Linked DNA regions of Danio rerio. The protein of the gene in region 1 purifies or fractionates together with the protein of each later gene. This does not show direct contact. Links are inferred from orthologs where the notes say so. Each region holds a gene or a part of one and is shown on either strand. Other genes may lie near its edges.

Region 1 (4,406 bases):
TGCGGGAGCGCTTGCGTTCACGGGATCTGTGACGTTTGCGCTCTCGGCCAGGAGATCCTTTACGATCGCGCTCTCTAGAGCGAGAGCGACTGCGCTTACGGGACTCTCGTTCCTTCCCAGCCGAGTCCAGGTCCTTCTTCTCAGAGTCACCAGCCATCTGGAAAGAAGAGCAACTGTGCGTTATGTTAAGGAGGGAGGTATGCACGATATCTTTTGATTGCAATAAACCGGCAAATCGTCAGCTCATGATAAAAAGAAAATTGATTTATAATAATAAAAACCACAATAAAACCTACAACAGACCATTTTCACATGATTGTGATGATGCCTGAAGTTTTAAATATCTTGTTTTTTTGTTTAATATATGTGTTTTTGAGCAGTATAAAAAAACTTAAATGAGATTTTTGAAAGGAACAATGTTTAAAATTTAACACACTTTCAGATTCCTCCCAATTTCAGGTTTTAATTTATCCAGATAAAGGCTAAAGTCTTTTTCATGATAGGACACATGGCAATATTCAATAACTCAATAAAGATATTTAAATATCTGCAAACTACTGTGAATAATTATTTATACAGTGTTCACATTGAATTTGCAGTGGTGTTCAAAACAGCACCAAAGCTTAAACACTTTATTGGAACTTTTCACTTCTGGCCTACTACATGCTGAAATATTGATAGAAATGGGCTAATATTCATTAATTAACATTGTACAATACGACTCCAGTAGTTCACTACAGTAGTTTTGTCGTACTGCGCCTTTAAGGCGAGTCCTCCCCGCCTACCATTTTTACGTGCCTTTCTGATTGCCTTAATCTCCTCCCTCGTCTGCGTCAGACATCAGACAGACTTAAAGTAAGATCTCGTGTAGCGTTTGTGAGAAATACTACAGTAAGAACTTTACCAAGGAGTATTTGTTGTGCAGTGTCATTGATTAGTCACACACAATATCGTTACAAAGTTCACGCGCGCGCACACACACACACACACACACACACCGCAGCAGACACACAAAAACACAAACACAAACACAAACACACACACACACACACACGGACAGACAGAGCACGCTTAGCTTTGCACTGTTTTTTCATGCATATGTGACAGGATACAGCTTAATCTCCACTGCTGTGTGGATATCTGCTATGTTATTGAACAAAATAAACCTGATTTAACATCCCCAAACAGGGATTGAAACGTCTTCCTTTATAATTGTTTTGACACGCAGCTGTGCTGATGAAGTAAAGCTGAAGTGAATCGCTGTACTTCATTACACACGTGCTCTGTTTTAAAACATTTTAAACATGTAAAACTTACACATTAGATGATGATTGATGATCCTAGCAAACTGAACAGATTTTTTATTTCCGGTTGCTTTGCGCACGTCTGGTCTTGTTGACATGATTATACATGTGACTACCGGGAAATGTTAATGCGCACAGCTGTCAATCAATTCGGTGGGCGGGGGGACCGCACTCCTGCGTCAAGTTGCGGTCGATCTAAAAACAGCTCGAATTGGTCCACTGTTTTTATGTTGTTAAATTAAAAAAAAAAGCACTGGGTAACTTTATATCACCCCAAGATCCTGGTCTATACACTATGCCTACACATATGTCTGTCCAAATAGCTTGAAAAGTAGATTTTTCACCATAGGTGCCCTTTAAATTTGGTTATTAACTAACAAAATTCCACTTTATTTTTTTACTTTCATTAACATAGTAACTGTAATGAATCTACCTTTTTTACTGTTGATTTTAATCTATTAACTAACATTAAGCAAGGAAACTTCATCGTGAAGTGTTACCTATTGTACGTTGCAACATTTCTTTTCCCTGAATTTGCATAAAATACAGCAATATACCAATGACTTTGTTTTTATACCTATTTAAAGCTCTATATCGCGATAATACCATATATCACCATAAAAGCTTCAACATTTAATCGGCACAAAAACATTTGACATCATCGTTATCTTATTCTCGAATAGAGGTAAAGCTGGTTTTATATACGCACATTCTGACTTTCCCCTTAATAATACAACCATATAAAAGTATTTGCAAACTCTAAATAGCGAAATCATATTAACTTAGCAGCAAATGACTATCAAAGTACAACATTGTTCACAGTCAAATTGTCAACAGTGTTAATGTTGTTTTCAAGCCACACTACCACTAATTCCGATCGAATATTCAAAGTAACATGCTAAACAATAACGTTAGAGACTTCTAAATAAACAAATGTGCTAATATAAAACCAACTTTACCTCTATTATTCTTGATACACTCACTGCTGTTCTTTCATTTAAACTCCCCGTTTTGCACAAATAAAATATTTTTTGTCAAAGTGCGTTGCTTATTTTGTTAAAGACTGTTCTACTAGCATAGTAACGTTATAGCTTAGATACAGTAACGTTAATTCCTTCACATTTGGCAGATTAACGTTACATAATTTCTGAAAACACCACATGTTCATATTGTTTTTTGAATCTGATGTACACTATAGAAGATTAGCTGCCACATATATTGCTTATATTTTGGAGATTCTTTTCTTATACCTCGGTAAATGCATTTAACAGATTTGACTTAAATAAATAGAAAGGGCCTTTTGTATACCTTAGGTAAAATTATTAACCTCATTTTAGTCAAACTACGTCAAATGTAATCATTAAAACGGGGATGACCATAATAAAACTATAACATTCTATGTGCAATATAACTTGAGATGAAAATAAATTCACTGGAGTTAATAATCTCGCTGCACCCCACACTGAAGGCAAAGAACACGGCAATGGCCAACAGAGTCTAAACAGAAGACTATAACGAGTGAACCTTAGTTATGAACAAACGTTCAGCTGTGCAGTGGATAACAAGAGAAGTTTTGTGCGTTTACTTGCCTTTATTGATCGAAATTAAGGATCTTGCGAAGCCTGTGCGTTTCACTGAGCCGCCATTATGTTTGGCGTCAACATATGACGAACTTCCGGCAAGGAATTGTGGGAGATGCAGTCAAAAACGATTTTTTTAAGCCAGGGAAGTTCAACAACAACAAAACAGTATTGTTGTTGCTGTTCTTTTGTTTTTATACATATATTTTGTGTTGTTGTGGTTCTTGCCTTGTTTTGTACAAATTGTATTAAAAATTCAAAGTTAAAAAAGCATTGTTATTTGTATCAGGCATATAATAACAGTTATATGTTATGTTATATGTTAATAGCATTAAAATAATACAAATTAATTGGTAATAATAACTATTATTATTATTAGCTATTAACAAAAATAATAATATAGAAATAAATAATTTTATAATCTATAACTAAAAGTAAGAACATCATTTTGGAAAGCAGGATTTTCTTTGAAATTGTGCCTAGTTTACCTTTTAAGCAAGGTAATAATAATTTAAAAATGAAAATTAATAGTGTGATAAAAAATGTTGCTCACAAAAAGCAAAAATAATAATCAACACAAATTTAAAGAAAAAATCATCTAAAAGTATCATCTAAAAAGAACATCTCCATCATCATCATCATCATCATCATCATCATCATCATCATCATCATCATCATTATCAGTATTATTGTGTTATTCTTCTTCTTCTTCTTCTTATTATTATTATTATTATTCTTATTATTATTATTATTATTACTACTTTTATTATTATATTATTTTTATGATTTTGATGATGGTGATGTTTATTGTTTTTCTTATCACTTTCAAAACATGTGTGTTTATAAATGTATCAATGAAATATTTCAATATTAATATAACCACAAAAAATATAAATATGCCTATAGGCAAAAGGTGGTCTATGTTCATATGATATCATGTGAAAGTTAGAGAAAATCACCATGAAAGGCGTCTATTGTATAAATTGTTATTCAGGGCTCGGCCACGGGGCAGCAGATCATTTTAACAACTTGCTTACATTCTGGAAATGTGTGCGCTATAGTGAACCGCCGCGCTGTTATTATCACTGGCCGTAATAATAGGCTCTATGGCGGGCGGAGGGGGGGCTTCGGCACACCTGAACAGCCCGCTATGGAAGGTGAGCAGGATGAGCGCAGATCGCGGACACGAGCGCCAGAGGAGCGCGCGCATGGAGGCGGAGGTTCGGCTCGGGATGCGCAGTGAGGAGGAGAGGCTCCAGACCTTCCACAACTGGCCCAGCGACGCTGCAGTGAGTCCAGAGGAGCTCGCACGGGCTGGCTTTCACTATCTGGGCTACGGGGATACGGTGCAGTGCTTCTGTTGTGAGGGCATCCTGAGGCACTGGGTGGATGGAGACACGCCGCGAGGGGAGCACGAGAGGCACTTCCCCACCTGTGGATTGATGAGAGGCAGGGATGTGGGCAATGTCCCGCGGGGCTCCTCTGATTCTGTGGACGGTCAGCTGCTGAGTCAGCTTCAGCG
Region 2 (3,660 bases), on another chromosome or scaffold:
TGCACACGGTGTTACATTTTACATACAGCTTCCACTTCCATGGCTGACGATTAAATGGATTAAATAAAACCTCTCACACTTAAAGTGAGTAGATTTAGTGGCAAAGGCTATTACCTGCAAACTCCATCACACCTGCTTTACATTGAATGCTTCAATCATTTTATAGCGGACTTTAACTCAATGGAAGTCTTTTATCCACTCTTTTGAAAAGTGTAAATGGTGGATTAGCATTCATCACATGATCACTAATCAGATGTACCGTTATTTGTAAATTTAAGTGTTTTCTAGAACAAAATCTGTCAGTTCTCTCATCTTCAGCTCTTTCCATTTTTGCGCCTGTCATCTGAAGGCAGAAGCTATTGTTTGAGCGATTGACAGTTGATATTAACCAGTCCATTCACTTACAGTTCTAGAGCAGTGGGCCAATCAGAAAAGGGCGAGAGTGGGGCAAGTATTGGGCATTTTAGGTGCAAAGATGGATTGTGCATGAGTGCCCACGCATGTGGTGAACAATTTGCAATGAAAACTGGTCGCACGGCAACAATTTTATGCACTCGCACAAATGCTTCCGATTATATTTTGAGTGCGCATTGATGAAATTTCAGGCACATATGCGACCAAAACAATTTCGAGCCCTGTTTTTGTCTGCACAAGCTAGATTTTTTTCATAAAATTTGTATCAACTGCTACAAAAGTTAGTGTGGGTGGGGACATTTTCATTTTGCTGTCATCAAATGTCCCAACAAATGTATGGTCTAATTCTCCTTTGCAGCTAAATACCTCATTTTATACAGGTTTTTTTTACACTTATTTTTGATTTGTATCAAAAGAAATCTGCACATGGAGTTATGAGTTGTCTTCTTATCGAATGAGGACACATTCTCTTGAATAAATATGATACAGTGATGTATTACAGTGTAATCTTAAGTTCCAGTGCTATGCTTCATGCAAAAACAAGATTACGAGCTTTTTATATTCAAGAGCTTTGTTTTGTAAAATACATGAATTGTCGAGGATACAAGTATTATTCTTATCTATTACTCACAGAAATAGTGTATTGAAATATTTAATTTAAAATTAAATGTAACATCCCGTTTTTATGACAACCGTATACACATCCATGCTAATTCCACTGTCGAATAAAACTAAATATGCTTCAAATGGTTATCAAAATGATCAGATTTTCAGATTTAAACTTGACCAAGAAACTGTTTACAATAATTTCAATATCGTATGAATGCAACATAAGCATCACATTCTCCTAAAATGAAGCAACCGAGCAAAGCCAAAATTTACAAGAGAAGTCTGATGTCATGTCATCTTTCCTGAGCATTTAAATGAGCAAATATTTCCATGTAATATGCAAAATGGTGCTTTGTTTACAGTTTGTGTGTTGGAAGTACTAGTTTTTTTTGAATGAGCAACATTGATTATTTTAGATCATTTTCTGTATTTTATTCGCATGTAGTTCTTTTTGGTGTGTTAGAGTACAGCTGTTGGTCATAATTCCAGCAACACAAGAACACCATAAACTTTTGTCCTCACTAGTTCTTCAGATAAACACTCCACCTTTTTTGGAATTCATTTTACATCTCCCCTAAAGTTAAAACGATTGAGTTTTACCATTTTTCAGTTCCTTCTGCTGAGTTTCTGGTCTGGCAGGAGCACTTTCAGCTTAGCTTAGCTAAATCATTGAATCATTGAATATTACATTAGCATGTTCCTCAGAGTTTTGATCATTTTCCTATTTGAAGGTTGACACTTCTGTAGTAGATACATTACCTACTAAGAATTGAAATGAAATCAATATGGCTAGGAACAATATTCTCATTCTGGCACAACAATCAAGTATTTTTGCTGCAATAAAAATAATTTATTGTTATTTCCACTGTAGTATTTTTAAACTTTAAACCTTTATGTCATCTTTTTCCAGTTTAAGCCAAAGTCTGTGCTGTCCAAGTATGATGAGGAGATCGAGGGGGAGAAGAAAAAGAGCTTCAGGCTAAGTTCTGGAGGTTTTGTTGGAGGTGAGAGAGAGCGAGAGCTGCAGGCCATCAGAGAGAGTCTGCGCGATCAGGCCCAGTCTCTGAGCACGTCTGCCCTCACTCTTGCCACTGAATACTACACGCCACAGGAGATGGTGAGAACCACATTTCAGCAAGCTTGAATTCAAATTGTATTTTATTTTTGACTGATGGTTTTCTTTTTTCCCCCCCTAATGTGTGACTTAAGGTTGGCTTTAAGAAAACTAAACGTAAGGTCAAGAAAATCAGAAAGAAGGAGAAAGTACCCAGGGCTGACGAGCTCTTGGTTGACGACACTCGAAACTCAGATTTCGGATCCAGGTGAAGTTTTCACTCAGTTGTGTTAATGCAGGACACTGCAGGTGAAAATGGTGAAAAAAAATTATCAACTAATAGTTAACATCTTTACTAGTTGATGAATTACATTGACAATTGCAAACATTTTTATTTTACATAGCAAGTTTTCTAAGGTGCTGTATTAATATTCAAATGATGCATGATTTAATTAAACAAGCTAGTTTGCATTTCTCAAACTAAAATCTAAAAATTTGTTGAACTCTGGTTCAGAATGCTTATATTTCTATCAGTGTTAGAATTTTCATCATGTATTCACCCTAAAATCTTATTTATGTATTCATTTGTTTGTTGTTTTTAATTGTATATTTATTAATGTTCTTGCCATAAAAATAGCCTTGAAAATTAGAAATAAAAATTAGAGGTTTCATTTAAATGTATTGGTTCTGGTTAATATAAGAAATTTAATTTTAAATATGATTCTTTATAAACAAATTATTTACACTCCTTGTATCATCATCATTAGAATTATATTTTTTTGACAAATACGAATAGTAGATTTTTATAGGGGGGATCTGCGGAATTTACTTTTATCACTAATCATTTCTAAAGTACTATAAGCATTCAGAAAAACAATATTCATAGCTTTTTGTTTCATAAAAGTAATATGTATAATCAAACAAATAGTGTATGATCATATTCCTCTGCAAAAATCTTCAGAGTATAGATTTAGTGGTGCTAAAGTTTTATTTTGAGAAGATGGCTTTTGAAAAAGAAAATAAATACATTGTAATTAAACTGTGAGTGACCTGACACACTTAAAAGTGTATTTTAAACGTTTACTGCACTTAAGGTCGAAAAATAAACACTATAAAGCCCACAATCTCTAAAATGATTGAAGGTTATGATAAAATAATTATAATCTCTAAAACATGTTGATGTAAAATGACAAGGTGCATGTAAAACATATTTTCCTGCATTATCTTGGCTTAAATACTCGGGCAACAATACAGTTTTCCTGCATTTCTTGGCTTAAATACTCCAGCAACAATACTAATATTTTAACACAATCATTCTGGCTCTCAGGTCTCGAGGTCGAGGTAGAAAAGCAGCAGATGAGGAGGAAGAGGCAGTGCCCGGTGATGTTGTTATAGAAAACATCAGCAAGTCCAGAAATGTCCTCCAGCAGTCAGATGACATTAGAATGGCCGATATGGACATTAGTGATGAGGGTAAGAGAAAACGTCTTCATGTCCAAATTTAAAACTCTTTTTCCTTTTTTCTTTTAAGGCATCTGTTTCTCTCTAGGGGTCTTTGCTTTGATATTCAAATGAGTTGGATC

Evidence for each region. Proteins that work in one complex are often made in the same cells at the same time.
Region 2: the proteins of ddx23 (region 1) and sart1 purify together in Homo sapiens (affinity purification with mass spectrometry; 3 studies listed by BioGRID and IntAct, counting the BioPlex papers as one, with this or other methods). This does not show direct contact. The link is inferred for Danio rerio from reciprocal best matches to the Homo sapiens genes DDX23 and SART1.

Annotation. Positions count from the first base shown.
Region 1 is NC_133198.1:15,753,784-15,758,189, forward strand, and holds the start of ddx23 (probable ATP-dependent RNA helicase DDX23), read right to left. Parts: upstream 2,958-4,406; 5' UTR 2,894-2,957; intron 158-2,893; coding exon 1-157. Other genes in the region: birc7 (baculoviral IAP repeat-containing protein 7), read left to right, coding at 4,051-4,406. UniProt on the Homo sapiens protein: Involved in pre-mRNA splicing and its phosphorylated form (by SRPK2) is required for spliceosomal B complex formation.
Region 2 is NC_133196.1:30,351,585-30,355,244, forward strand, and holds part of sart1 (U4/U6.U5 tri-snRNP-associated protein 1), read left to right. Parts: intron 1-1,933; coding exon 1,934-2,140; intron 2,141-2,232; coding exon 2,233-2,345; intron 2,346-3,404; coding exon 3,405-3,550; intron 3,551-3,660. UniProt on the Homo sapiens protein: Plays a role in mRNA splicing as a component of the U4/U6-U5 tri-snRNP, one of the building blocks of the spliceosome. May also bind to DNA.